4 linked regions of the Notamacropus eugenii genome follow. The protein of the gene in region 3 interacts with the protein of the main gene of each other region in a pairwise test. Links are inferred from orthologs where the notes say so. Each region holds a gene or a part of one and is shown on either strand. Other genes may lie near its edges. The genes, in order: SMC3, SPTBN1, TRAF3IP1 and PCNT.

Evidence for each region.
Region 1: the proteins of TRAF3IP1 (region 3) and SMC3 interact in a two-hybrid assay, tested with the Homo sapiens proteins (2 studies listed by BioGRID and IntAct). The link is inferred for Notamacropus eugenii from reciprocal best matches to the Homo sapiens genes TRAF3IP1 and SMC3.
Region 2: the proteins of TRAF3IP1 (region 3) and SPTBN1 interact in a two-hybrid assay, tested with the Homo sapiens proteins (2 studies listed by BioGRID and IntAct). The link is inferred for Notamacropus eugenii from reciprocal best matches to the Homo sapiens genes TRAF3IP1 and SPTBN1.
Region 4: the proteins of TRAF3IP1 (region 3) and PCNT interact in a two-hybrid assay, tested with the Homo sapiens proteins (2 studies listed by BioGRID and IntAct). The link is inferred for Notamacropus eugenii from reciprocal best matches to the Homo sapiens genes TRAF3IP1 and PCNT.

The regions. Positions count from the first base shown.
Region 1 is NC_092872.1:188,251,487-188,259,187, forward strand, and holds the start of SMC3 (structural maintenance of chromosomes protein 3), read left to right. Parts: upstream 1-4,640; 5' UTR 4,641-5,257; coding exon 5,258-5,272; intron 5,273-7,701. UniProt on the Homo sapiens protein: Central component of cohesin, a complex required for chromosome cohesion during the cell cycle. The cohesin complex may form a large proteinaceous ring within which sister chromatids can be trapped.
Region 2 is NC_092872.1:651,984,216-651,991,684, forward strand, and holds the start of SPTBN1 (spectrin beta chain, non-erythrocytic 1), read right to left. Parts: upstream 3,073-7,469; 5' UTR 2,833-3,072; exon of another isoform or gene 2,745-2,832; intron 2,101-2,744; exon of another isoform or gene 1,739-2,100; intron 1,630-1,738; exon of another isoform or gene 1,510-1,629; intron 1-1,509. UniProt on the Homo sapiens protein: Fodrin, which seems to be involved in secretion, interacts with calmodulin in a calcium-dependent manner and is thus candidate for the calcium-dependent movement of the cytoskeleton at the membrane.
Region 3 is NC_092873.1:65,997,227-66,005,193, reverse strand, and holds the start of TRAF3IP1 (TRAF3-interacting protein 1), read right to left. Parts: upstream 3,150-7,967; 5' UTR 3,007-3,149; coding exon 2,884-3,006; intron 1-2,883.
Region 4 is NC_092873.1:68,466,151-68,473,491, forward strand, and holds the start of PCNT (pericentrin), read right to left. Parts: upstream 3,077-7,341; 5' UTR 2,855-3,076; coding exon 2,798-2,854; intron 1,162-2,797; coding exon 955-1,161; intron 1-954. UniProt on the Homo sapiens protein: Integral component of the filamentous matrix of the centrosome involved in the initial establishment of organized microtubule arrays in both mitosis and meiosis. Plays a role, together with DISC1, in the microtubule network formation.

The sequences.
Region 1 (7,701 bases), on a different chromosome or scaffold from region 3:
AGGGAAACAATGACGAAAAATGAAAAACTAATGTCAAAAGCTTTGGGAGACAAAATGTTAAATAGTTCAAAGAAAAATTATCTGTAGGTATGTCAGTGACCATAACAGCAAAACGGAAGCAGTCTAGGGCAAGGATTCTGGCTTACTGGGTAACCTAGGGCAAACTGCCTAATTTATCTAAGCCTCAGCTTACTCAACCTTTCAAATGACAATAAAAATACATTTTTGTCTATTTTATGGAATTGTTGAGAAGATCAAATGAAGGAATGTAATTTGATTCGGAAGCATTTATAAAGGCTCTATGTGCCAGGCACAGTATGGGAGGCTGGAGAGACAAAGACAGAAACAAAACAGCCCCTGACCTTAAGAAACTTACATGGTACAGGGAGGCTACATGTACATAGATAAGTAAATAATGAGTATATATACAGTAAATATGAACTAATTTGGGGGGATGAGGAGGTGGTAGAAATACTAACAAATGGAGGATCAGTAAAGGCCTTTTGTAGGAGGGAGGACAGGCAGAGGCTTGAAAGGAGATAAAGATTCCAAGAAGCAGAGGTGAGAAGGAAGTGAATTCTAGTCAGGAGACTCACAGCATCTCCACAGGCATGTAGGTGGGAGATGGAACAGCCAGCACTGGGAATGGCAAATGGGCTCATTTGGTTGGAGAGTAGAGTATATGAAGGGCAGTAAAGTGAAATCAGCTCAGAAAGAGAAGTTGGAGCCAGATCATGAAAGGTTTTCAGTGCCAGATAGGAGTTTATATTTTATTCTCCAGTCAATTGGGAGTCCCTGAAGATTCTTGAGGAGAGTCGGTCAGACTTGTGCTTTAGGAATATTAACTTGGAAACTACATAGAGCATGAAAAAAGGCATAAATGAAAAGAATGAAAAAAAAAAGAGTACTTATCATGTGCCAAGCATTAGGGGAACAAAGACAAAAGTGAAGACAATTCCTACCTTCAAGGAGCTCACATTCTAATTGAGGACTGGTGGTCAGAGATATTTTGCATAGGAACATTACAGGGATTGTGAACAGTTATAAATAGATTAGCCTAACCTTTATAAAACAATGGCAACATTGCTTTGATTATGGTTCTAAAACTGGACAACAGAATTGGAGGGAAAGGTGGCTAAGAAGGAGCTGGTCAGAGGATAAAATAAAGTACGGCCAGAGATATCCTGATATAGTGGGCCACATGTGAGGTACTCAGGATGGTGGGAGCACTAGTGCTAACAGGGTCAAGTCTTCCCTGTCACAGGAGTAAACCAACTGGGTCTCAAAGTGGCTGGATAGATAGGAGAAAACTTGAGACTGGGAGACCAGTCAGGAGACCATTTTAATATTCAGGGAAGAGGAAATGAGGGTGAAACACAAAACACTCACAAGCATGCACTGACAGAATTCAATAATTCAGCTTATAGCTATTATTATGCTCTCTTGAGAGATCAAATCAGTTGGGATTCCATAATGTAAATTCATAATGGACCCAATGAGCATGGTTGTATGCTAGCAGTATTAGGCAGCTCTGTTCTGGGGCAAAATGGACAAAGGATATGAACAGGCAGTTTTCAGAGGAAGAAATTAAAGCTATTTATAGTCATATGAAAAAATGCTCTAAGTCACTATTGATTAGAGAGATGAAAATCAAAACAATATCACACCTACCAGGTTGGCTAATATGATAAATCAGGAAGATGGCAAATGTTAGAGAAGATGTGGGAGAGTTGAAACACTAATTCATTGTTGGTGGAGCTGTAAGCTAATCCAACCATTCTGGAGAGTAATTTGGAACTATGCCCAAAGGGCTACAAAAATGTGCATACTCTTTGACCCAGCAATATCACTTCTAGGGCTGTATTACAAAGAGATAATGAAAATGGGAAAGTGTCCCATGTGTACAAAAATATTTATAGCAGCTCTCTTTGTTGTGGCCAAGAACTTGAAATCAAGGGAATGCCCATCACCTGGGAAATGGCTGAACAAGTTGAGGTATATGAATGCAATGGAAATACTATTGTGCTATAAAAAAATGACAAACAGTTGAACTTCAGAAAAACCTGGAAAGACTTATATGAACCGTTGCTGAGTGAAATGAACAGAACCAGGAGAACATTATACATAGTAACAGAAACAGCATGCGACGACCGTTTCTGATAGACTTCGCCCTTCACAGCAATGCAAGGACCTAGAACATTCCCAAAGGTCTCTTGATGCAAAATGCCATCTATATCCAGAGAAAGAACTATGGAATCAGAATGCAGAATGAAGTAGACTATTTTCTCTTGTGTTTTGTTTTGTTTGGTTTTTCTCACGGTTTCTCCCGCTTGTTTAATTCTTCTATGCAACATGACTAATGTGAAAATGTGTTTAATAAGAATGTATATGTAGAACCCATATAAGATTGCATGCCATCTTGGGGAGGGAGAGGAAGAAAACTGAAAACTTATGGAAGTGATTGTTAAACTGAAAACAAATTAATTTAAAAAAAAGAAAAAATAGTATGCATTGAAAACCCCTCAAATTGGTTCCCCTGCCTTTGACTTGTACATGCTAGTGCACATCTAAGTCAAACTTCTAATTTTGTAGTCAAGCAACCAGGAAGAGAAATCAGACCCAGAGCTTTTAATTCCCTAAACCAATCAGTACCTTTTGAGGAAAAACTAGCATAATTTGAATGGAGTGTTGTAAGATTTTGCTTCCACCAACACATATAAGTTCATGGTCTTCCCTGAAGGTTGCTCCTTGGATATACTGGTTCCCTCAAATGCTAGTACTCTCTCCTATTATACTTGCCACTCTCTGAGGTACAATATTTCCTTTGTGGGGAATATTCATACATACATATATACACGTATATATGTAAATATATGTAAGTTTACACAACACACATACACACATATGAAAATAAAAATATACATGTGTATGTATTTTTTTCTCGTCCTTATAAAGCTCAGAAATTAAATGGGAAGGCAGTACACAAGGTAATTAATATTTATTCTTTTAATCATTTTTCAATCATCCTGACAAGTACCACCAGAGCCTTCAAAGGCCTTTGCTGGGGGCTACTTCACTGCCACCTCAATTCATGCTCCACTAGAATGACTCCACTCTAATGCCTGCTCTCTTGATTGGTGAGGAGTTCCAATTGTGCTGCTCAATGCCCTCAGAGCTTAACACTCACTGGACAGCTCCTCCTCCCCTTGTAAGGCCTTGCCTGTGTTTTCTTTCTCTTCCCTGCTCCCCTTAATGTTGTGATTTTCCCATCAGAATGTGAGTGCCTTAAAAGCAGGGACAGGCTTCTTTTTCTCCCTTGTATTTGTATAACCAGTATTTAGCATGTTGCCTGGTACATAATAAGCTTAATAAGTGCCTTATCTATCTGCTATGAGATTTACAAAGACAAATAAGATGCAGTTTGTGCCATCCAGGAACTTACTCCATCAAGCAAGCTAAGATAAGTGAGGCAGCATGGTGTAAAAAGAGCAGTGAGGGTGGGCAAAGCTAGCTTTTACTAGCTATGTAATCTTAAATAAATCACTTCACTTCTCTGGGTGTCATTTTTCTTACCCATCAAATCAGGATAAACCAAGTTTGTAAGCATATAATGAGATAGGAGGCAGTTAGGTGGCCCAGTGGAAATGATGGGGAACAAGTTCTGGGAACCCCCAGAGTTACATCTTCCCCACTCAATCCGGTGTTGGCCTGAGGTCACAAGCCTTTCATGATCTGCTTGTCCAAGCCTCTGGCTGCTCCCCAGCCTTGACCTCTGGATTACCCCGGCCTACTTTCTACTCTAGACCTCCTCACTGCCTCCAGCTGTTTCCCACCCTTGATCACAATCAAACTCTCTTGGTTCTGACCTCCAGTCACCCCAATCCCACCAAGATCCTCCTCCAGACCCTCCCTAATCCCCTCCTCCCATCACCCCAGACTACTAGACCACCCCCAGACTTCTCCCACAGTCTTTCCGTATATAAGATCCTTCTTGTCTCCATGAAGGTGCTCAGATTCTCTCTGGCCCCTTGTCTATACAAGCTTCACAAATGGTGAGGCTTCTTAAGAGTCAACCCAGCAGGGCGGATCTTTAAAATAAATTGTTTCTTCAGAATAAGAGCCTGAGTCCAACTCATTCTGGCAGGACCCTGGGTGCACTTATCTTGGGGTCCCAAACACCCTAAACCTCAACATAGGGTTCCCTGACCTCAACAGAAACAGGAAGACCCAAGGTCAAGTGTGGCCTCGGACCCTGGGCAAGTCACATAACCTCTTTCTGCCTTCAGTCCGGTCTCTTTGCCATGGGCAGGATGGTCCAGCAGTCACAGGAGCGGGGCATGGCTGAACAAGGGAACAAGGAGATCTCACAGGTAGAGGGGTTTCTGCAAGAAGGGATGACCGGGATGGGGTCCCTGGCAGCTGCACACAGCAGGGGTTTCACAGATGCTTCTCCTTCAGAGGCGTTCCCACGAGGCCCGTAAAGAGGACAACGGGTGGGTGAGATGTCAATTTCTCACCCCCCCCACCCCTCCTCCGCGTCAGCCGCACGCGACGATCTCTGGGAAACCAAGGCCGCGCACGTGCTCCCAGGCAAAATTCTCCCCCAAAGTGGCGGAAGCGGAACGTCCGTTAGGCGGCATAAATGCGGGCTGGCAGTCTGTCCGGCGCGCCAGGGAATGAGGCCCGCGGCGCCCAAGCCTTGGCATCTCCAAAAGTAAACAGCGACGCGCCACCGCGCCGAAGTTCCACCTTGGCGTCTCTTCTTAACCGCCCCCCTCAAACCACGTGGTACAGAGCCTGGCTCATCTTCGCGGTCCCCTCCCCTCGCGGTTTGAAGACGCTTGCCTTTAGCGCCGAACCTTTCCCCTCTCGTGGTCGCTACCACTGGCTTCCGCCCTAGAGGGGGGACACGGACCAGCCCAAGCATGTCCGGGAGGAAAGTCGAGAGCCTATTCTCGAAGCCAGGGAGGCTGCGTCCAAGACACAAATACGACTTTGCCACGCAGAGTCCGACCGGAGCTGGTCACGAGTGGGGAAAGGCAGCGAAGTGTCCCGGAGCACCCGCTCCTCCCTGCTCGTGCGGCGACGATGGTTTGATCCAGACGGGGACACCGCCTCCTCAGAGGCCGCCATTTTGTTTGGCCGGGGAAAGGATCGGGGTCGTGGGGGAGGGGTCGTAGACTCAGCTCACCTGACTGGCGGAGGAGCAGCTGCGGGTCCCGGGAGGGTCTTTCTCCCGGGCCGGGGGCGAGGAATCATGTATATAAAACAGGTGAGTCCGGTGCCGCGCCGTCTCAGAGGATTTAAGACAGCCTCCGTTTCCCGCCTCCCCTACCCCCCCCGCCCCCCCCCCCCCCCCCCCCAGCGCTTCGGAGCCCGCTCCCATCCCCCGCGCGGCCGCGGTGGGAGGAGAGGGGAGGCGTCGTTCCCTCTGCCTCCCGCACCTTCGGCCCTGGTCCTTCCCCAAGGTCCTAGGCCGCCCTAAGGGTCCCGGCGGCGGGAGGGGGAGGGGAGAGGGCCGCGGAGGCGGGCGGGGGGCGGGGGGTGGAGCGGGCCCTTGCTCCTCGGCAGACAGACCTGCCCCCGGGGGCGCGGAGGGGCGCGCGTGGGGGGCGTCTGCCCTGCAGGCCGCACTTGACTTTGCCTGTTCCTAACCGTAATAACGAGAGGCGCGGTGCTGCGCGGCCTCCTCCCATCCTCCTCTCCCCCTCCCCTGTGGTGGCTCTAAATGGAGGCTGGTGAAGGTTGTCCGAGCTGCGCCCCAGGCCTGCCCCGTGCTTGGTACGGCCCTGGGTGGAAAACCCAAGTGTCCCCCGCCCCCCTTTATTCGGGTATTCTTTAGGCCTGTAATTCTCTTCTAACTCATCCCTTCCTCCTGGCCTTTCTGGCGCCCAAGCCCCAAACAATCCCCCTTGATTCTGGTGCCTCACCTCTGTGGGTTTTGTCCAGTTCATTCTGTATGTGCCTTGTTAGTAGGTGGTTTTCACGTAGTCTCTCTCACACACACACCTTGTCACATAGTAGGTGCTTAAATAAATCCTTTTTGAAATACTCTCAATCACTATTGATTAGAGAGATGCAAATCAGAACCACTTGGAAGTACCACATCACACCTATCAGACTGGCTAACGTGACAGAACAGGAAGATGACAAATGCTGGAGAAGATGTGGGAGAGTTGGAACACTAATTCATTGTTGGTGGAGCTGTGAGCTGATCCAACCATTCTGGAGAGCAATGTGGAGCTATGCCCACAGAGCTACAAAAATGTGCATATCCTTTGACGCAGCAATATCGCCTCTAGGGCTATGTCCCAAAGAGATCATAAAAATGGGAACAGGTCCCACATGTACAAAAATATTTATAGCAGCTCTTTTTGTGGTGGCCAAGAACTGAAAATTGAGGGGATGCTTATCAATTGGGGAATGGCTGAATAAGTAGTTGTGGTAGGGATGTAATGGAATACTATTGTGCTGTAAGACATGATGAGCAGGTAGACTTCAGAGAGGCCTGGAAGGACCTATATGAACTGATGCTGAGTGAAAAGAGCAGAACCAGGAGAACTTTGTACACAGTATGAGGAATTTTTCTGGTAGATTTAGTCCTTCACAGGACAAGGACCTAAAATATTATCAATGGGCTCTTGAGGCAAAATGCCTTCCACATCCAGAGAAAGAACTATGGAATTGGATTGCAGAATGAAGCAGACCATTTCCTCTTGTATTATGTTTTGTTTTGGTGGTTTCTCACATTCATTTTAATTCTATGCAGTATGACTAAGATGGAAATGTATTTAATAGGAATGTATGCATAGAACCTATATAAGGTTGCATGCTGACTCAGGGATGGAGGGGAAAAAAATCTAAGATATATGAAAGTGATTGTAGAAAACTGAAAACAAATTAATGAAAATAAAATAAAGTTAGAAGCAACTTCATTAAAACAAAGGAAATCCTTTTTGGCTGACATAGCCAGAGCTCTACTTAAGGAAGATATTCTGGATAGAGAAAAACACTCTGACCTACCTATTCTTCAGTAGGGAGGAGAGATAATGAAACGTGAATTGCTGTGTTATGTGTTCCTTTTTAAAAACTTTGTTTTTTATATATTTTAATATTTGTATTATGTATTTAATATTTTATATTATTTAACTTTTTTAATGGACCAAAATCCTTCTCTCACCTTCCCCATTGTAAAAGAAAGAAAAATGAGACCTTTGATGGAAAAAAAATTCCCAAAATGACTGTCCAGAAAATGCTTCATTCTTTATTCTAAGTTTATCATCTTTCTATCAGATAGCATTTTTCATTATGAATATTCTGGAATCATGTTTGGTCCTTGCATTAATCAGAATCCTTAAGACTTTCAAAATTGTCTTTACAGTGTTACTGTATGTTTTTTTCTGGCTCTGTTGATTTCACTCTTGATCAGCATCAGTTCATACATGTCTTTACAGCTTACTCTGAAAATGTCTTTGGTCACTTTTTACATCACTGTTGTAGATGTTCCACAGAACCTCATCCTGTGCTTCCTCTTCTCTCCCTATGTACTTCACTGGGTGATCTCATCAGCTCCCATGGATTTAGTTATCTTTGTTGATAAGTCTCAAATCTACCTCTTCTGCCCTTACCTCTCTGCTGAAATCTGGAACTAGTTGTCCAGTAGGTATCTTAAACTCAGTATATTTAAAACTGAACTCATTC
Region 2 (7,469 bases), on a different chromosome or scaffold from region 3:
ATTTCATTAATTTTATTATGTATTATTATGCATATTCAAAGGCTACAAACCTAGACTCATGAAAATATGACTATCAACTGATAATCCTTGGCTTTGAAATGTTTAACTACTGAGATAGTACCTCTTTACCTAATTTAGGTGACATTTCCTCAAAACCAGAACCTAGACTGGCATTATGCACTAAATTCCATTTATTACTCAACTTCAAATACAAGTATCTAAGAGAACTATGGGAAAGTCATCTGTAAATGAAATTCACTATACGAAGAGAGAGGTAAAATCACTTCCCTGCCACATTTGACTTAATGCTATGAAACACTTAAGCGTAAGAAAAGCCATAAGAAAGCCATAAGAAAAAAATCATGTCATGAAAATCTGCCCAAATCACATTTGGAAGAAAACACTTAAGAGAAAAGATGTGAAATTTAAATGTGTGGTTAATTTCAGCTACAATCATCTTAATGATGACTCTACTGAAATAATCTTATATGTAAAGCCAATTTTGCTACTTAAATAAAAAAACTCTTGAAAATGTTTGATTTCTATTAAATATAAATCTCATTTGTTATCTCAAGATGTGAATTTAGTTTCCAAATAGTTTCAATTTAAAGGGGAAAAAACTTGGCTAAGCCCCCAACAATAAAAAAGCCCACTTTTACAACCCTTAAAGAGCAATTTTTAAAAATATATGAAATTCTAACATCTTTATACACTTTTTGAGGCCCAAGGAACTAAAAGCATTTAACTTCTTTAATTTTTTTTTATGCACATAGTTTTTCTAGAACTAAAAACCTATATTCTTAATACTGGGTGCCCTAAGCTGCTAAATGTGAATTTATTACTGTCATCAACTTCTGATATATTCAGAAGCCAATTATATTGGAAGATTACATGGCGTGGTCAGCCATCTAATAAATATATCCCATGACTACTCACATACAACATGCACCATTTCCTCACATTTACAATATCATTCTTCCTGTCGCCCCTCCCTAATGCTCCTACAGTAGTTTGATAGTATGGGATAAAGGTCCACAGCCGCAGGCTGGGCTCCATCAGACCGCATTAGAACTGCAATCGCATAACTCCTCTTCATTACAGTACAACCTAACAGCAACCAAACAGGGAGGGTCCCTTAACCACTACCTCATCCACTCCCTCCTTCCCCCCCAACCCCCGCAAAAATGTCTCTTTCTCCTTCTACACCTAGGTGATCTGTTTCTTTTGAAGCCACATCCAGCTGAAACCGTATGACAGGGGACAAGCAGCCCCAGGCTCTGGAAAAAAAAAAGCTTTCCAACTGGGTGGGGTTGGGAAAGAGCACAGGGCGATGGGTTGCTATGCAAAGGAGAGCCACCAAGAACAAAATAAGGTTGTCATATATCTAGCTGCATTGTGCTGCATCATCCCACTCCTGCTAGATCATGATTAAATATATTTTAAAAAACAAATTAACCCAAGTCATGGATTCTTTCTTTCCTGAGGCCCATCTTCAGATACTTTTCTCACCTGTTTTCTCTTTTTTCTTCTTAAAATTCAAGACGGTTTGCAAAGCCTGCAATCATATCAGGCTGTCTTCCCAACATGGAGAAAGGAGGAGGGAGGGGGAACAACTGTAAATCTGATTGCAGCGGATTGACACTTTTCCCATCACAAAAGCCAAGAGAACGACCCAACGCAAGAAAACAGGGTGCGGGAGCAGGGAGGAAGAAGGGTTCCCAAACCAGCACAACCCTACCTAGGGGACCAGAAAAGAGATGACCAGGTCGGCACAAACCTGTTGAAGAACACCGAAGCCCGAAAAAGCAGCCTGTTCCCAGCACCGTAGCTGCTCACGCCCAGTCCAGAGAGAGTGGGAAATGAAGAGGAGGAGAAAGAGGAGAAAGAGGAGGAGGGAAGGAAAAGGAGGCGGGAGCAGCAGCAGGAGCAGCAGCAGCAGCTGCTGCTGCCGCCGCCTCCAGCTCAGCAGCAGCAGCGCAGCTCAGGACCACGCCTGGTTGCATCTCCTGTACCGTTACATCCAGCAACCTAGGTCACCAAGCACGGTCAGCGACCCCTCGCCAAGATGCCCACTCTCCTCCCTTTCTGCCCCTCCTTTACATACATACGCGCACACACGCACACACACACACACACACACACACACACACACACACACACACACACACACACACACACCAATCCAAGCAGCCAAAGGCGATTTTTTCTTTTTTTTTTTTTGCACCTCACTAAAATATGCGCTCGAGAACCTCAGTACCCTCTCTCTTTAATGCCTCCCCCCAGAAAAATACTGGGAAAATGAGGCACACAGCTTAAAGGAGGAGAAAGGCGAAGGGGAGGAGGGATGTCTGCTGCAACCTAATGATGGAGCCGCTGCAACAGTCACACACTGCCATGTCTGCAGCTGCCAGACTGCAGAGCCTGCCTGCAGCCTTCTCTCCGTCTTGCTCATTCCCTAGGCCCTGAATCCCGCCCCAAGCGCCCCTTTTCTCGCCCACTGCCCTCCAATAAAAGGAACACTTTTTAAAAAGAGGGGGTCACCAGCCCTACAAACCCCTACTCACCCCCGCCGCCCCTCCCTCCCTGTTTTTGCAGCCTCCCCTCCCCCTCCCTCCAACCTCTGTGCTGGGAAAGGGTCAGCGTGATTTCTCCTCGCTGTCGTCCTGGCACAGCACCCTAAGGTTCACAGCCCCCCCCTCCCCAGAACCCTGCGCCTCCCCCTCTCGCAATCCTCTCCTACCCACCTAACCCGGGGGCTGGGAACGGAAAGGAGGCGTTCAGTGAGTTGGCATCTGGTCCGCAGAACGACAACCGCAGCCTCGGGGCCCTTACCTCTTCGGGGTCCGGGGAGATGGGGAGGTTGGGTGGGGGGCGCCGGGGTCCCGTCCTCCTCCTGGGCAGCCGGTCGGTGCTGGCAGCCGCCGCGGGGGTCGGGGCTCACAGGACAGGACCGGGCGCCGTGCAGTGCAGCGCTGCGCTCCCGGAGGAGAGGAAGGGAAGGGAGCGACTGGAGGAATCCGCAGCCCACACAGCAACAGCTGCACTGATTCAGGAGGCAGGCGGGAGGAGGGCGGGCGGGAGCTGGGAGGGGGCGGGGAGAGGGATGCTGCACAGACACCCACCCACAAGCCTCTCCTCCTCCTCCGGCTCGCGCCCCGCCGCCACCGCGCAAACACTCTCTCTGTGCCTCTGAGAGTGCCCACCGCCCTCTGCCCCCTTCTCCGCTGCGCTCCTCCAGCCCCCGGCCCGGGCCTCCTCCCAGCTACCTGCAGCGAGCGCCTTCTCTGGGCTGCAGCTGATAAACAAGTGCGCTTGCACATTCACCTCCCTCCGCATTCCTCCTCTCCTCTCCTCTTCTCTCCTCAGTCCCCGAGGCCGGGCCTGGAAGCCAGGCACCCCGATAGGGGCCACCGCCGCCGCGGGAGGAGAGGGAGCGCCGGGGATAATGGGGGCTTTGTCCCCACCCCCCGAGAGGGCCAATTTCACGTTTAATTGAAGCCTAATTCGATTATCACCATGGAAAGGGGCAGCCTAATTCTGAACGTGACTTCGCTCAGTCTCCTTTCTTCCTTGCTGGTTTTTTATTTTGTAACAAAGGACAAAGTTTGCTTTCTGGGTTTGGGGGTTTTAAGTGGGTGGATTCCCCATTTTTGTTTTAAATCTGGGAGGTAGTGCTTGTAGGTTTCCGCTCAGGTGGGGAAAAGGCGACATCTCTGTTGGGCGCCTTTTTTTGTTGTTTGTTTCCCAATTCTCTGGGTCAAGTTCTCCCTTTGTGAATTCTTTTAACCCTTTCTACCTAGGTAGCCTAGCCTAGTACTTGAACTCCAGCCTCTTATCCCTGAGGCAAACATCCCGTAGCGGCCCCCACCCCCACCCCCTTTTTTGAGATACAGTGTTTCCTGGGGACTAACAAGCTGTCTGTCACTACTCAGTAATGGACCTGTCAAGGTTCTCGTCAAGACTTACCTACATTAGCTAGAAATCTGAGCTTTAGAACATAAGCTCCTACAAAAGTTGTGGTTAACTTGCTCTGTATGGTTATCTAGCCCAGATCCAGGAAAACGTGAGCACTATACAATTTTTATTATTTCGGCTCAAGAGAATTGTTGAACCTTTTCTTCTGAAGGATCCCCCAAACCTTAAAACAAAAACTGACCTAGGAAGGTTAGAGAACCTCATTACTGATTTGCAGCTATTTCAAGCAGTAGAGGTCTGAGACCTGGTATATTTAGTGTTTAAGTGTTTACAGATGAATATCGTGTTTTGCTGAAAATGCAGAAATTTGAACTGGCAATTTTAGTTAACACACATGTACCACATAAAAAATTAACTAAAATTTATTTCTTGCCTAATGTACCTGATCACCCTATTCAGAATGCTGGTCTACCCCAAAAGTCAGGGTCTCAATTCAGATGGCCTAAGGCTTCAAAAGTAGAACCAAAAAATTGTACTGTTAAAAACATATAAAAGATTATTAAATTTTCACAGAATTTAAGCATTCTCTTTTTTCTTCCCTTTATAATGACTTTTGAGTTCTAAATCAACCTTGTATTCATTTTTATGTTTTATATATAATAATATATGTATATGGTTTTTTTTCATAGTTCTTGGCATGTAGTAAGTGCTTAATAAATGCTTGTTGATTGATTGGATTAGATGGATATTTTTAAAAGCTTTAAAACTGGTAGTATCCTGTGATGCCGATAAATAATTTTAATTTTGGAAATTTTCAAGTTAGAAGGAAAGGGACCTAAAGGGTCAGAAAAATCAGTCATTTAGCTTTTAATGAGCAAAATAAATGTTTTCACACGTTATACTTACTTCAGTGTTTCAGAAGTTGAAGGAAATAAATGAAGTATTTTTCAGGAATGCCATCAAATCACAACAAAAACATGAAAACATCATAAAGGTAAGCACAGGGAAATTAGCACACTGGAAATGAATGCTGCACCTGAGGACTGAGTTTTTGCTTGTTTCAGTCAATGAAATCCACAAGAAAACAACAGAGTCTCCAGGGAAATAAATTCTTAAACACTTCCAAAGTTATTTTTAGTAGTGGTCTTTAAATACTCCCTTTATCTCTCTACCACTAGAATGGTTAATCTTCTAGCTCTAGTAGAGACCATATCCTGCCCCCAACCCAAATCATTTTATGCTTTCTCCCTGAGAAAAGGCAACATGTTTCCTTAACTTCACAATTTATATGGCATTGTACCGGGGACTGTAAGAATTTACCAACTTTATAGTAGCTTATTAAGTGTGATTCCGAAATTCAGAGTGAAGGCTACTGATTTAAAGTTTTATTGTAAGATATAAGGGAAACTTTTTAAATGCAGAAGTTGAGAAAGGTTCTACTAGAGAGCTGGAACTTTGTCTTCATAATATTTTATCTAGCAGCTAATACATTATTGGCAATCAACAAAAATTAATAGGAATTAACAGATTTAGATCATAGAGATAGTCATTAGTCATTTTTGAATTATAGCTAATGAAGAAACACCCTAACATGGAACACTTCCAGTATAAAAGGAAATTACTTAGTTTAGGTTCAACACTGAAAATGACTCACATTCAGAGAGTATATTATTATTAATAATAATAATTTTGATCTTGGATTAATAATCATAAAGGCTATTAGGAAAATTTTGATTTTTACAAAAAATTTTTCATGCTCAAGATTTAGTCTATTAGTAATGAATAAAACTAAGGAAATACTTTACTCTGTGATTCCTTTCTCATTAAACTTCCTTTCCCTTAAAGCCTTTGGGCAAGATATTAATATTTAATTATATTTTTAAAGGTAAAAAGGACAGACTATGACAGTTAAATTTATACCCATGAATGTCTAATTGTTAAAATAACATTTTCAGAATCAAATGGTTAAAAAGAAAAATCAACCCTGAAGAAGATTAAATATGACCTGGATGATGATTGCTAGGTTCCTTTAAGTAAACAGTGATCTCAATGTGCCAAACCTATTAATATTTTTTTTCTTTTTCTTTTTTCCTGTTATTTAGTCCTACAAGCAAGGATACTTTGAAATTTTAGATTCAATTTCTTCTGTCATCAGTTGTTTCTTTGGTTGACCAGGAAATCGATTTGTTCTTCAGTTGGGCTAGTTAAAGGGAAAATTGATAAGTAATTAGAGTTTGTCCCCATTCTTTCTTTACCTCCTCTTTTTAGGAAGGTGGGTGACACAGTGGATGGAACACCCGAATTTGAATCCTGCTTATGACACTTAGTAGTTGCATGATCCAGAACAAATAATTTAATCTCTCTGACTCAGTTTCCTTATCTGTAAGATGATAAAATAATAACACCTCCCTCACAAGATTGTTGTGAAGATCAGAAGAGTTAATATTTAAAGCACTATGCACACCTTAGAGTGCTATATAAATGTTAACTATTATTGTCATTCTTCCCCTCAGTGAGGCATTCTCTCAATGTACTAAATGTTTGAATATTTTCTCAACCCTTTTTCCTATGAAAAGATTATTTGCACTATGGTGTAAGTGACTGGTAGATTTCTTATTAATATTGTTTATCTTAGAAATAAGAGGGACAAGACCTTTATTTGGCATAAGGGGGAGGAATGAAATTCCTTATCATGTATTTTCACTTATCAGTGAATCCGGATGTATTTTGGAAAAGAAGATTCCCAGCCCTCTTGAAATCCTTTTACTTGGGTGGCTTACTTTTAAAACCATCCCTATTTTCCTAAACTCCTCTCCACATCCAAAATGGTCCAAATCAACAAATGAATATTTATTGAGTCCCTGCTATGTGCCCAACCAATAATGGTATAGTGGGAAATATAAATTTGAGGTCTTACAAAATTTTATTTTAATTAATAATAGCTAACATTTATATGGCACTTAACTATGTGCCAGGTAGTATACTAAGCACCTTACAGTAATTATCTCATTTGATCCTCATAACCACCCTGGGAGCTAGGTGTTATTATTATCCCCATTTTTCAGATTAGGAAACTGAGTGAAACAGGTTAAGTGACTTGCCCAGGAATTCACAGCCTATAAGTATCTAAGGCTAGATTTCAACTCAGGTTTTCCTGACTCCAGGCCCAGTACTCTATCTACTTTGCCACTTTTTTGCCTATTTATATGATAAAGCAGGTCCCTTGGATTTTCTCGAGCATTCTCAATGACAACAACTTTCTCCTTTCTCTACCTCTTAGAACTCATTTTGAGGTTCAGTTTAGAGCTACCCCATTCAAAAGACCTTTCCTTATATCCCCAGTTTGTGGCCCCTAATTACATATACATACATGTATATACAATTCTATTAATTTATTAAATGTTTAGCTACTTAAAATCAAAATATATTAGTTTATTGTATATATGTGTGTGTATGTATGTATAGCCTATATTTACTTATCTGTGAACATGTTGTATCTACTAGTAGAATGCATGCCTTTTGAGGAAAGATGCCTTATTTCTATATCTTTAAAC
Region 3 (7,967 bases):
CTCATCAATCCAAATCTGCACCTTCTCTACATCTGGAGAATCTCAAGGCTGCCCAAACCAATGATTACCACCTGGTCAGCAGGGCACTCCTGGCTTCAAGGCCAGCTTTCTATCCACCATACCATACTGACACATGACAAAAAAAGCATCAGTAAAAATAAGATAAAAACAAAACACCATTTTTTTTTTTTAGCAATTCTGATGCTTTACACTGATTTTATCAAAAAGTTTTTTCAAGATTTCAGAGGTCCTAGCATTTTAAAGAAACTGATGGTCAAATCAACTGGCCCTATAAGATACAAAATCTGTGATGTCTCCAGGGCCCCTCTGGAAAAATCATGGGCAAAAATCATGGAGGACAAAACCTTGGATGTTTGGATTACCCACCCTACCAGACAAGGTGACAGAGCCTGCAAATTTTCAAAGGTGTTTTCTTTTGGGGGGATGCTAGAGGGGTCCAGACCTGAGATTTCATGGCTCTAGGGAATTTCCTGTGTGGAGCCTCACTGCATTGAAGCAGGTGACCAGTTCATCTGGAATTTATATAGTCTCAAAGTTGGGGTGGGAGTGGGTGAGTAGATATGGGGATGAAGGTTAAATGACTTACCAGTGGTCAAAGAGTTAATATATGTTAAAGACAAGACTTGAACCCAGGTCTTCCTGACTCTAAGGCAGGACCTCTAGCCATCAAGTTATGGCAAACATTAAATATTATTACATTGGCAGATAAGATGAATTTAGCATCCTATCAATGAAAGGCTATAGTGGCAAAAAGATGAGGGCCCACAATTCTTTATACACAACAGAAGTATCTTGCCTCCCTATGAATAATCAAGTCCTTCTGTTTGTTTCTTTTTCTCCCTCAGTCTTGCTACTACTACCTCAACCAATGCACCTAAGAATGCCAGAGCAAAAAGAAGCAGGTGACCTCAGAGGACCTTAGAGGTTAGAGACTCTCAGGGACAAAAGAGGCCTGTGAAGCTCTTGAGGCCAATTGCTACCTAAGCAAGAATCTGCCTACTGCATAACCCAACTCCAAATGGGCACCCGACCTTTGCATGAAGACACTTCTCCTTCCCCAGGCAGCCCCTGCATGTGGGGAAAACTTCAGTTGTTAGGAATTTTATCCTCACATCAAATCTCAATTCTTCTCTTTGTCACATGCCCAAATGGTCCCCAGTGCTGCCCCTCTGGGGCTAACCCCTTATACAACCCCCATTTAGAGATGGGCACACACATCAAGGCTCAGGGAGTGGTAATGACTGGCTCAACAGCACGAACAGTTAATGGCCAAGACAGGAGCACCCAGAGCTTTCAATCAATGAGCAAAGAGCAAGCTGAATGCAGGAGATTTTGCAGATACAATTCACAGGACTTAGTACAGGGTGAAAGACACTGGAATATGAAGGTGAGGGACATGAAGAAGAATCGAGGTTAATTCTAAAGTTTCGAACGGGAGGCCCTGGCTGGGTGACGGTGGCATTAACGGAAATGCTGTCAGAAGCAGACTTAAGTATTACTTTTCAAGCATATGTAAATGGGGTCGTTATGAAGAAAATGTAAATTCATTTTTAAACATCAGTGAATTAAATGTTTTGTTGTTTACTTTTCAATTGATATCCATTATGCGATATGTCTATATATTTTTTTCTTTTAGAAAAAAGGGACTCTCATACTCAAAAAGGTTGGGAATCCCCAGGCTACATGACAGTACCATCAACTAGATTCTCAACTGATTGAGCGAACGTAGTCTGCATAAACAAATGATGGCTCTGTGGCAACTTAGGGGGATGTCTCTGGTGGATAGTCTGGGCTGTTGACCATTTTTATCAATGACTCAGATGAAGAAACAGATGGCACATATTTATCAAACACGGAGATGACATGAAACTGGGAACATTTGTAGGGCAGTGTCAGGCACTTCTGAAGCTCAGTTAGATCAAACTGGCATTCTTTCATTCTTTTAACTGCTTTTACCCAACAAACCAATTAACCAGACCCGACTTTGGGGTCCTATTTCAGTTCATCTTGTCCCATGCACGGCACAAAGCACAAAAGTGGTCATCTTCCAAGGACTAGTTCTTTCCTGGGGACTGTTGTTCAAGGACAGAATTCCATTTTCTTTCATGCAAACCCAAACTCCAGCTGCACTTTATAGACTGGCTAGTCCACAGCAGTAAACACATCTTTCAATTTCTCAGTCTCCTAGTTGCATTAAACAGAATACATGGTTTTTCAGGATCGATTTCCCCCTTTCGTTGGTTTTTGACAAAGGAAGGTTGGTACCAGCAAGAGGGAGAACGTCTGTATGACCCGAGCGGTCCAAGAACCAAGCAGTGCCCGTCACCGGGGGGCTAAGGGCCCCGACCCGCACCCCGACCCGCACCCCCCCAGCCTCCGGGCAGACGGCAGTCGGGAAGCGCGCCGGCCTCCCATGGCAACGCGGGCAAACACCCCAGCCCAGGAAGTTTCACATCCAGCCGACTCGGACGTTCTTGGGAAGACTAAAAAATCAGCATTCCACAAACAGTCCCGGGACCTGACCCTTTCCGGAGGGCAGGGGCTGGAGGAGCCTGGACCCCACAGGTCGCAGGTGGTCACTGAATCCGACTCCCCTGGCTCTGCGGCGTGCACATTACGGGGGCGCCCCTGCTGGGCAGCTCCCCGCCCCCCCACACCCCCCAGGGGGGCTCTGCTCAGGTTCCCCTCCCCCTCCCCAGGGGCTGCCCGCAGCAAGCCGGAGGCGTGAGCGGCGATCTGCACAGGCAGAGGGAGCTTGCCGAGCTGGGAGGGCCGCCGGCGGCAGCCCCGCCCTCCACAGAAGACCCCCCGCTAGGCCCAACCCCCCGGGGCCTCCCCTGCCCCCCCGGCCTGTGCCCGCACCTCCGTGACTATGTCGTGCAGGTAGCGGAACGGGGGCTTGCTCAGCAGCTTCTCCGTCAGCGGAGGCTTCTTGATCACCTTCCCCAGGGAGTCCTGCGTGCGCTTCACCACCGACGCGTTCATGGCGGCCCCGGCCGCGACCGGGCCACCTCAGGCCGCCGCCTGGCCCCGCCGCTCCCGCCTCCACCGCCGCCGTCGCCGCCGAGCTCGCCGGCCCATCCCACAATACACCGCGCTCCACAACGGCGCCTGCGCGGACCCACAGCGTTCTGTCGCCAGGCGCGCGCCGCCCTAGCAACGGGCAACAAGCCGCCGCCGCCGGCATCACGTCCCCTCCCCCTCACCGTCCAATCCCGGCTGGCCGTCTCGGATGTCCCCGCCTCCAGAGGTCGCCCCCAGCCCGGCAGCCCGCCTCCTCACCAGAGTCTAGGCCCCGCCCCCTGAGAGCGACCCGGCCCCCAGCGACCTGGCCCCCCCTTCCAAGGCCCGAAGACCCGGACTCTAGCCCCACCCCTCGTCGCATCCCTGCGAGCTCCTCCACGGCAAGCTCCGCCCACCCACAGAGGCCAGGCCCCACAGCCCTAGCGGCACCCGCTCTTCATTAGCCTAGCCCCTCCCCATTTCCAGCCCCCTGGACCCGCCTCCTTCCTCCTCCACCTCCCACCTCACAGCCCCAGCCAGGATCCTGGCCCCGCCCTCAGGCCAGCCTGCAGGAGGCGGGGTGGGATGGGGGAGGAGCCCACGGGTCTTCTGGACTCCTCCCTCCTGCCCCTCTCTCTCCTCCCCTCTCCTTCCCTTCCTTCCCTTCATTTCTCTTTTCTCCCTCCCAGTCACCTTTTCTCCTCCTCCCCCTTCTCGTTCCCCCTCCTCCTTCCCTGTCTCCCAAAGCATGTGGGTGAACGCTCCCCCTCTTAAGTCACAACCTCCCTAGGACTCAGTTTCCTTACCTACAAAACGAGAGAACTGGACAAGACGGCCACTGAGGTCCCTTCTCTCAGAGAATCTTCCTCCACTCGTCTTCCTCTTCCTTCCCCACTTCCCCCATTCTCCCTCATTCTTCTTGTCTTTTCTACGGTGAATCCTCTATCCTTTTTCCTCCCCCTCCCTCTTTTGTTTGCCTCCTCTCTCAACCTTTCTCTTCCCTGCTTTCCTCCTTCACTCTCCCATCCCCCTCCTCTCTCTGCTTCCCTCTTCTCTATAGTCTTTCTTTCTTATTTTCTCCCTGAAGACTAAGACTTTACAATTCCCTTACTTATCATATTTGAGGTAAATGGGTGAGGGTCTGATTAGTCATTGCCCCACTAAACTTTAAAGAAAGTAACAAAATACCCTACCCTGATATACACATCACATTTTTCACTCTGTGAAAATGACCAAATCCAAATAGTTTAAAAGAGAAATAAGAATTGTGAATGCAGAATTATAGCTTGCACAGCAGAAGTATTCGGCAGAATAAAAATTTTGAACCCACAGTAGCAAGTGTCACCAACAAAGGAAAAGAAAATAACTCAGTGGGAATGCGTACACACAGAAGTGAAAGACAAACTGGGAGAAGAGGAACTGAAGCAATAACATTAAGAGAAAATGTGGGGGCACCTAAGTGGAGCAGTAGATAGAGCATCTGCCCTGACATCAGGAGGACCTGAGTTCAGATCTGGTCCCAGACACTTGCTAGCTGTGCGACCGTGTGCAAGTCACTTAACCCCAATTGCCTCCAAAAAAAGAAACGAAAGAAAAATGTGATCTCCATGCATGAAAAACATTAATCTCAAAAACCAACTAAGTGACCCAGAAGAACACAAGTTAAAATAAAAAACATCATAATGTGAGAAATAATACAAGAAAACTGCCTAGAACTTCTAAAAAACAGTGTCTATCAAAAGAATTCACAGATCACCCCCAGATTAAACAAAACTCCCCAAACTCCTATGCTGTAAACTCCAGTGTTTCAGTTGAACAATTCCATTGACAACACATTTTCTAAGCAACAAGGGGAAAGACTTTCAAGAATAAAGCAAAAGAAATTTTAAAACACAACTCTTTAGCACTGACCAGAAACTGTAGGAGATATTGAAATAACATGTTCCTATAAGCAAAGGAGCTCAAACTCAGCCCAAGGTGACCTAACTTGAGCCTGACTGTTAGGGAAAAAAATGTGGATGTTCAATAATGAAGAAGAAGCTTTCAGAGAATTCCCAGAAAGAAAACCACACAGAGGAAAGTATTTGCTTTTCAAATGTCCAACATAACAAAAATATAAGAAAACAGGGGCAAGAGCAACAGGAGGACAGCCAACCAACAATCATTGAGACTCTTTCTAAATGTACATGAGAAGAAAAAGGTGAAAGCAGAAATCAAATGGAAGTGATGGTGAAGAAACAAGCGTAAGATATCATAGGCTGAACCTCACAACATCCCAAGTAGAGGTGAATCAATGCTTGTTATGGGATTAAATGTCAAAATAAGAGGACACATAAAAGAGGGGAAAGGAAGAAAAACATAGAGGGGAATATGTGATATATCCCAGGCAAGTCAAAGTGCAGTCATAAGAGAAAATGACTCCTGTCATTTCTCAGGAGGAAGAGAGGCTACAGTAGAATGAGTGAGGAGACAGAAGGAGGGATTAAAAAAGGGAGAGTAAAAGACGAAAATCTTGGGAACCAAGATGACTGAGTAAAAGCAAGGACTTGCTTGAGCTCTTCCACCAAACCCCTCCAAATACCTGTAAAAATGATTCTAAATACATTCTGAGCAACAGAACCCACAAAATGATGGAGTGAAACAAATTTCTAGAACAAGACAACCTATAAGGTCAACAGGAAGCATCTATTGCACTAGTCTGGGAGTAGAACAGTCCAGCATGGGCCATGTCTGCACAGATAGGGTTAGAGAAATCCTCAGGGGACTGAATCATTGGCAACTGTGGCAGTTTCTAGACTTCTCAACCCACAAATGCTAAATACCATATGGAAGTTCAGCGGAAAAACTCTGTGGGATCTGGTCTGGCTGGGCTCTGGCCCCAGCCCTGGGGCATAGGAGGAGGAGGCGGTGCTGATGACAGCACCACCAGCAGCAGCAGTGAAAGCTGTAACTGCTTCTGGAGCTCTGGGCCCACAGATTGTGGGGGACTGAGTGACTGATGCTGAGTGACTGAAGCCTGGGACAGTATACTCACCCCTACCTATACTGGAAGAAGAATCCTATCTTGACAAAGAATTAGAAAGTCTAGTATTTGACTGGGAATATGAACAAACAGTGTAAAAAACCTCAGAAAATCTTTGGTGACAAAGAAGATCAAAACATAGAACCAGAAGAAGACGACAAAGTCAAAGTTCCTACATCAAAAGCCTCTAAGAAAAATATGAATTAGTCTCAGGCTATGGAAGAGCTCAAAAAGGATTTTGAAATCAGGTAAGAGACATAGAGGAAAAACTAGGAAGAGAAATGAGAGTGATGCAAGAAAATTATGAAAAATGAGTTAACGTCTTGCTAAAGGAGACCCCACCCCCAAAAAACTGAAGAAAATAATATCTTAAAAAATAGACTAACCCAAATGCAAAAGAAGTCCAAAAGCTAATGAGGAGAAGAATGCCTTAAAAAGCAGGATTAGCCAAATTGAAAAAGAATCCAATAGCTCACTGAAGAAAATAATTCCTTAAAAATTAGAATGGAGTAAATAGAAGCTAATGACTTTATGAGAAATCAAGAAATTATAAAACAGAGCCAAAAGAATGAAAAAAAATAGAAGACCATGTGAAATATCTCGTTGGAAAAACCACTGATTTGAAAAATAGTTCCAGGAGAGATAGTTTATAAATTACTTGACTACCTGAGAGTCATGATCAAAAAAGAAGAGCCTAGACATTATCTTTAAAGAAATTATCAAGGAAAACTCCCATGATATTCTAGAACCAGAGGGTAAAATAGGAATTGAAAGAATACACTGATTACCTCTTTAAAGAGACCCTCAAAGGAAAACTCCTAAGAGTATTGTAACGAAATTCTGGAGTTCAGAAGTCAAGGAGAAAATATTACAAGCAACCAGAAATAAATAATTTGAGTATTATGGAAATACAGTCAGGGTAGCACAAGATCTAGCAGCTTCTACATTAAGGGATTGAAGGCCTTGGAATATGATATTCCAGAGGTCAGAGGAGCTAGGATTAAAATCAAGAATCATCTATCCAGCAGAACTGAGTATAATACTTCAGAGGAAAAAAATGGAATTTCAATGAAATAGAAGACTTTCAAGCATTCTTGGTGAAAAGACCAGAACTAAATAGAAAATATGACTTTCAGATATAAAAATCAGGAGAAGCATGAAAAGCTAAACAGGAAAACAAAATCATAAGGAACTTATTAAAGTTGAGCTGTCTACATCCCTGCATGGAAAGATGATATTTTTAACTCATGAGATCTTGCTTATTATTAGGGTAGTTGGAGGAAATATATATGTATGTGTGTGTGTGTGTGTGTGTGTGTGTGTGTGTGTGTGTGTATGTGTGTACATAGAGGACACAGGAGGAGTTGAATATGAAGGGATGATATTTACAAATAAAATTAAGAGGCGAGAGAAGAGTATATTGAGAAGGAGAATGGGAGAGATAGAAGGGGGTAAATTATCTCACATAAAAGAGGCAGAAAAAGGATTCATAACAGAAGGGAAGAGGAGGAAGGTGAGAGGGAATGAGTGAATATTGCTCTCATCAGAGTTGGCCTAAGGAAGGAATAACATACACACTCAGTTGGGTATCTTACCCTACAGGAAAGTAAGGGGAAAGGGAATAGGGAGGTAATAGAAGGGAGGGCAGATTGGGGAAGGGGGTAGTCAGAAGTAAGCACTTTTGAAAAGTGACAGGGTCAAAATTGAAAATAGAATTGTAGGTGGGGTAGGATGGAAGGAAATATAGTTAGTCTTTCACAACATGACTATTATGGAAGTATTTTGCATAGCTACACATATATAACCTATATTGAATTGCTTGCCTTCTCAGTGAGGGTGGGTGGGAATGGAAGAAGGGGGAGAATTGGGAATTCAAAGTTTAAAAGCAAATGTTAAAAATTATTTTTGAATGAAACTGGGA
Region 4 (7,341 bases), about 2.5 Mb from region 3:
AAGAGGAAAGAAAGGAGAGTTAGAAATAGGGGAAATTCTGGAAACTAGATGCTCTCAATATACTGGATGACAAGAGAGCAGTGACAAGCAGCCATTTTCATTTCAGAATGCCGACATCAACAGTTCTGCACATAAATGTTCTCTTGGTTCTCTTTGGCATCTTCAACATTCACAGTTCCATGTACCACCCCTACTGTTTTTAAACAGCCAAATTCTTCAGACTTCTCTTTATGGGTTTTGAGAGGACCTCCCACCTCCCACATGCTGCCCACTCAGACTCCATGCCATACAGAGATACCACCACACAAAGTGTGTCCTTGCTGACCTCAAACCCAGGGCAATTAGGAATCCACAAACTGAGGCTAAGCCCTTAACCCAGGAATTCCTCACAGCAATTACCCCACCACGTCCCACACAACTGGTTGATGCTCATTCCCTTTTCTCTCTTCTGCTTAACACCTTGGACGAATTTCCTCCTCCTCCTGCAGAGCCTGCGCTGGGATGCCCTAGGAAGATGTCGGGCCACTGAAGTTAGATCTACATCTGTAACTCCATGCGATGCCTTGGATTCCCACTCACTTCAAGGGCAGTAAGATGGGAGGGAAATGGAAGAGGGGAGGCATTTGGGGGACATGGAAAGTTTCAAGAGAGTTCTCAATTTGAATTAAGCAGAAACTCTACCATAACTGGCATAGTTAATTCTCTCAATATTTATTAAAACAATTGAGGATGAGGCCTACGAGAGTTTCTCAAAATGACCATGGCACCAAGGTATGAAACATCAGGGCAAAGAACACCGCTCACTCACCTTGTGGAAACAAGAAACCCATCCTCCCACTTATGGCAGCCAAAAACAGACCAGACACGGAGGTTAGTGCGTTAAAAGGAGAGGAACCATCACAACAACATAACGCAAACCAAGAGCCCCAGCCCACCCTCCTCCAGCCACTTCACCTTGGCCTCCAGGGCGCTGGCTCTCCCCTCAGCACAGTCACCGTCCCCCCTGCTGTCCACACTCTGCTCCAGGTCTGGGGGTGTTACCGTGCACTCCTCCTCCTTCTCCGTGACAGCCGCATGGACAGCCGTGCTCTTCCTCTTCGACGCCTTTTTCTTCGAACTCGAACTGTCGCCTTTTGTTTTTCTTTGTCGGAACTGAGCAAGCTACACAAGAAGGTTAAGAAATAGTAGAGACAGAGATAAGTGAGAAAACCGTAACAGGACCACAAAGTGAACACCCCTGTGGAAGAGAACATGGAATGGCTTAATGGGACTGTGCATAAAAATCCACGGGGACTCCCTAGCTATCAAGGATCCAGGTGGCCAACTTAGGCCTCAGCCCTGACCAAAGGCATCCCCAGCCAAAACAGCAGGGTGCCGTCTGCAGGGTTCTAATGGAAATGAAAATGACATCCAAGTCCCCAAGTTATTGGGGCCCTACAAACAGGTCAGGGGAATTAAGTAACAGCTGACAAGCAGCCTGCTAGCTATGGTCACTGGCAGGAAGTTATCAAGTGGTCATCAACTTCGCCAAGGCATGGAAATGAACTGAGAGGCGAGTCGGGCCCTTTCATTCGCCTGCTCCCCCTGCCCCCAAAGCAGAAAACCAGGAGTCAAACTTGGAGCCACTGATTCTGAGCCACATCTACAGAAATAGCAAAAAATTCATTAAGCTGGGTCAATTGCCTCTCCTCCTTGAAAGAATCAGATGCTCTACTTTTCTGAAGTATCCCGGTGCACAAAGCACCAGGGACCTCCAAACCATGTCACCCATCAGAACCCTCTCTCCTTAGCTCCCTGAGCTGAGATCAGCCTTTTCCACTAGCCTGCTTGTGGCGAGCCAGAATCTGCACCAATATTTCAACTGTGCAAGACCCGCCATCATCAGCCCCAAGCTGGGCTCGGAGGCCGCACTGGTCACCCACCCTGGGCCATGACCTCCCTCCTACAGCCAGGGAAGCCGGCCCTGCTCGGGCACTGAGCACAGGCCTGGAGGGAGGCCCTGCTCTCTTGGGGGCCTGGGCCTTGGTAGTACTGAGGTCCCAGGGGCCTCTGGGGGGAAGGGGGCTCGCTCCTTCGCACTGACCCCTCGCGGGCCGCCTCCAAATTGGGCCACTGTTTCGGGGTGACCGCGGCGCTCAGGCCCGGCTTTGGGGAAACCAGGCTCCGCAGGTGGGCCTCCCCTGGGGCAGCCTCAGTTTCTCCATCTGTACATCGAGGGAGGTCGCCCCAAGCTGTCCAGGTGGGCGGGCCTCAGTTTCCCCATCTGTGCACAGAGAAGCCAGCACACTAAACCCCTAGCGTCACTCCGAGGTGGAGGCACACGCCCCCTCCTCAACTCCGCCCCAAGCCACGCCCGGAGCCCAGAGGGTGGGCCCCCAGAGAGGCCGGAAATGCGTGAGCCCGCTTCCGGCCAGTATCCTACACTTCCGGGACCTTCTAGCAGGCGGAGGACCGGGAGACTCGGTGGTCAGGCTCCACCCCACCCCCCCGGCCTCCAGGGCCTGGCCCCGCCTCCACCCCGCGATGACTGGCCAGGAGGCAGGGGGCGGGGCCGAGGAAAGAGCGGTGGATTCAAGATGGCGGCGGCCAGGAGGCGGAAGATTTCGGGCGAGCCCGCGAGAGAGGCGCGGCCCCGGCGGGGATGGGGGATCGGGGACCGCCAAGCTAGCGGGCTCGGTGCTAGGCGGCCCCTTCCCACTCCCCCAGGACCGCAGGTTTCCCGCCCCTCCCCAGGCTCCCGAGCTTCGCGCTCTGTGGGGAGGGGAAGATCCCACGCGGCGGCCAGGGTCGGCCTTACCTTAGCCCGGCCGGCCTCCACCTTGCGCCGCCGCTCCTCTTGCTCGTCGTACTCCATGGCCCGGCGAGGATACGCGCGTGGCCCAGGGGCGGACGCGACCCTCCGCCGCCGCCGCCTCTGCAGCCGCTGTATTGACACGGCCGCCCCGCCCCCTAACTGACCGGGAGCGAGGGGGCGGGTCCGGGCACCCTCCGAGCGCTCTCCAACCCGCCCACGCCCATCGGCGTCCTCCCACAGATGGACGCCTGCACTGGCCAACAAGCGAACGGCGTCCCGCGTCTGCCCTGCCAATCATGGGCTCGGGGCGGGGCGCTCTTCTGGAAACCCGACCCCTCCCAGCCAACCGCCCTGGTACAGCTCTGAGTGACAGGCCGCTAGCCTCTGTATCCTCCCTTTTTCCGCTCAGCCCAGGCTCCGCCTACCTTACGAAAGAATTGGTTACTGCGCTATGACGTCAACCGAGCTGAGCCCTCTGTTTGGTCAATTTCAAAGGGCCCGCCTAGCGCCTCTGGAACGCGTTGTCCAATCAGAGGCGCGGGCGGGAAAAAGACTGAGGCGGCGGGCTGACCTCGGGGCTCTGCTGGGATCTGTGCCAGGGCCCGAAGCCCGGGAACTCCGGGACTGGGCGGAGTGAGACGGCTTGGGGGCGGGGCCAAGGTACCAATCCACCCCGCCCCTTTCCCCTCGGCCCCGGGGGGCCAAGCTGAGGCCAGGTCAGCCAGGAGGGGCCGCAGGTGTGGAATGTCCACACGTGCCCTGGAGGGGGCGTGCTTCCCCCCTCCCACGACCACTTCTGGGGCAGCCCCTTCTCAGATCTCTCATTAACCGGGGATACTGTCCAAACTCCCCAGGACACTGTCCATCCCCCTCCAGGACACCATCCTCCTCCTCTCAGGCCCCTTGTCTGGATCTTCAACCACTGACAAGGCTGTGGGTGAGGTCCGCAGTCCAATGAAGCCAATGGACCCTTTCTCAGAATAATGTTTTTAAATAACTGAAGGTTGTTTTTTTCCACTGTAAGTTCATGCCTCCCCGTGCCCTCCATGCATGCACCTGATAGAGGGCACTTCCTGCTCTGCTCTCTCCCCTCCTGTGGGGTCGGTTCTCTTCTCCATGCCAGTGATCCCCAGGTCTGTGTGTCCAGCCCCACTCTCTTTCCTGCCACCTGGGGCCGCATCCCTGGACATCCTGTAGGCTTTCAAAGGGATCTCCCCTCTGCCCTGGGTTCTCCAGGGCAGGACCCTCCAGCCCCTCAGTCCCCGTACACTCCACTGGTAGCCAACATGTCCTATGTGTCTTCCTCCCTTCCCAGGCTAAGTCTGCTTGTCCCCACTGCCTAACCCTGGTGACTGCCTGGCCCTGCCTCACCACCTTCTTACCCGCCTCCCTGACTCAGTGCATCCCCACCTGCTGCCACTGGTCAGGATACCTCCGTGGTTCACTCCTGAAGCCAATGCAAAACATCGTGTGGGCTTTGAAAGCCCTGCCAAGGTGTTAGACCCCACACCCCCACCATCACCTTTTCAGTCTCCTTATACCTTAGTGCTTTCCATCCTCCACGATCCATTGACTCTGTTTCTCTCTATCTCTCACCTCCATATCTTGACATTGGCTCTTTTATACCTATAATACTTGACCTTACTTGCCTGGCTTCCCTGCCCCTCACCTTCCTTAAATCTCAGCTAAAAACCCACCTTCTGAGCTCCTAAAGGTCAGGGGCTGCGTTTCCGCTTTCAGAATTTGGCACAATACCTAACATGCAGAAAATGCTAATTAACTTGCAAACCTGTGTGATCACAGGAAAGTCACTCTCCCTCTCTGAGCCTGGTTTCCCCCTTGGTAAAATGAAGATAGCAGTAATCAACAAACCATAGGCATCACAGGCTTCTGAGGAAAAAATGCTTTTTATGTGCCAGGCACTGGGGATACAAAGAAGGCAGAAGAAAGTCCCTGCTCTTAAGTAGCTTATAAGCTAATGTTAGAAACATTTGTGACACTAAAAAGGTATCAAGGAAATATTACAGCAGAGTTCAGAGGAATTGAACACTTTGGCCAAAGCGGGCCCCCACCCTCTTTTCAAGAGGAGGGAGCACTGAATACAGAAGGGAGATGAGCTATATACTGTTACTCCAAGACAGATCCTTCCACCAGAAGATGGATTGGTCCATTCTCCATTAGGTCACCATCTTCTCTACATGCCCAATACATAACCTTCCTTAGTGTGATTCCCCCTCCCAAACATGCTTTATCATAGGACCCATGATCAGAAAATGGAGGTATAATTTTATTTGGGGTGTGTCTGCTTATATGCATGAGGCCTCCAGGTAACTGTAGGTCATTTTTCTTGGCTAGTTCCAGCTAGCTGTAGATTTGGTGCCTTTATCAAAAACTTTGTAATTTTCTGAAGGCCACCGTCTGTCTTTTGGTTGATTGAGTTTACCTGCAGTCTGCTGGCCTTCTTATCTAACTTATTCTCAATGACTTCATCAATTAACAATAACTTACTGTGGAAACTTAACTCAATGTCTTTCACGCTAAGGAACTCTCTATAAGCTGCATCAGGGATTAATTATCCTGAGGAGATGCCATATGGAAAAGTATTGGGGCTGTCTTATGAGAAAGTCACAGGGGCCTTAAGTTTCCTCATCTGTAAAAGGAGGAGCTTGGTCCATATGGTCTCTGGTGCCCATAGGGTTCTAGACTCCGCCTGGAAGGCCCTAACTTGTGCTCTCCAGTGGCCATCGTTTGGGTTGACAAAGTTGAACTCACTCATTCCGCAGAGAACCCTACAGAGTAAATGTCAGAGTAGGAGCTGTTTTCATTTGCATTGATCTAATTATTAGTCATTTCAAGGACTTTTCATGTTGCTATTGATAGTTTCAATTTCTTCCTCTGAAAACTGTCTTTGCTTTGACTATGTACTGGGGAAATGAGTCTTATTAGAAATTTGAAACAGTTCACTGTATATCTTAGAAATGAGACCTTTATCAGAGGAACTTGCTGCAAACCTGGTTCAGAAGATCTCTTTCCCACTTACCTGCTTCTCTTCTCACTTTAGCTGAATTGGTTTTGTTTCTGCAAAAGCTTTTTCTTCTTATGTAATCAAAATTGTCCATTTTCTCTTCTGTGATCCTCTGGAGAGGATTCGGTCCTGAACTCTTCCCCTATCAATCGATCTAGCAGGTAAGTGCTTCCTTGCTTCTTTAATTTGTTCATGGTGCCTCTTCTATAGCTGTCACTCACCTGTTTGGAACTTGTCATGGGGTATAGTGGGAGGTGTTGGTCTAGACCAGGGCTGGCAAACTCAGATAGAAGTGGGGGCCATTAATCTGAATAGAAGAATCCCTGCAGCGTGCATATTGGCAGTTTTCAAATGTAATGGTGTGTTCAGGGAAGACTAGGACCTCTGGTGTGAGGGCTTCTTCCACCTTCAGTGTCTACGTGATCCATCTAACTCTCACCTGTGGCTCCAAGAAACTGTAGCATGCACAGCATCCACACCCCAGTAAATCATTTTGGCATATGGGCCAAACCAGGCTGAGGTTAACCAACCAGCCTCAAACCCATCGGTGAGCTTGGGGGGCTCTGCCCCAAGCATGTGAAGACTTCCCCTGATGGGATGGGCGAATGAGAACAATTTCTTCCAATGGCTTGGTTGGAAGGTTGGGAGGCTGGTCAGAAAACAAAGACACTAAAGTCATCCACTGCATCCAGAGCCATCACCAGTCATCCTGCCAATGGACTGTGTTGACTGGAGGACAGAGTAAGGCCTATGACTTTGTGCAGCTCTACCTCACTTAAATCCAATTTATACATGAATCAAAAGACATCACCCATGCCAGGTATCTTTATTTATTTTGTTAAGTATTTCCCAGTTAAATTTTCATCTGGTCTGGGACCACCTCTGATCTAGACCTCGTTTCTACCAGGCTTCTTTCCAGTTTTCCTAATAGTTTTTTATTGAATCGTGAGTTGCTAGCCAAGTAGCCAGGATCTTTGGGTTTCTCAGATACTAGGCAGCTGCCTCATTTGCTTCAGCATATTGTACATTTATGCTGTTCTACTGATCAAACTCTCTGTTTCTTGTTGTCCAGTTGTTTTGGTCCATGAACGGCTCTCTGTGATCCCATTTGGGGTTTTCTTAGCAGAGACACCGTAGTGTTTGCCATTTTCTTCCCTAGCTCATCATACAGATGAGGAAAATGAGGGAAACAGAGTTAGGTGACTTTCCCAGGGTCACCCAGCTAGTACATCAGAGACTGGATTTGAACTGGGATCTTCCTGTCTCCAGGTCAGGCTCTGTACACACTGGACCACCCTGCTGCCTATATGAATATTATAAATTATGAAAAGTGAATCCATGCTATATAGGTAATGACTAGTAAGCATAATCAGCCTTTACACTTATTCAGCATTTTCCATGATCTCATTTGTTAAGTATCTTCTGTGTGTGTGTCAGGCAAAGCACTGGAGATACAGGAGAGAAACAAAGGCTCCCAAGCTCACCCCTCTCCAGGCAGTGCCCTCAGTCATGGGCCTGGGCC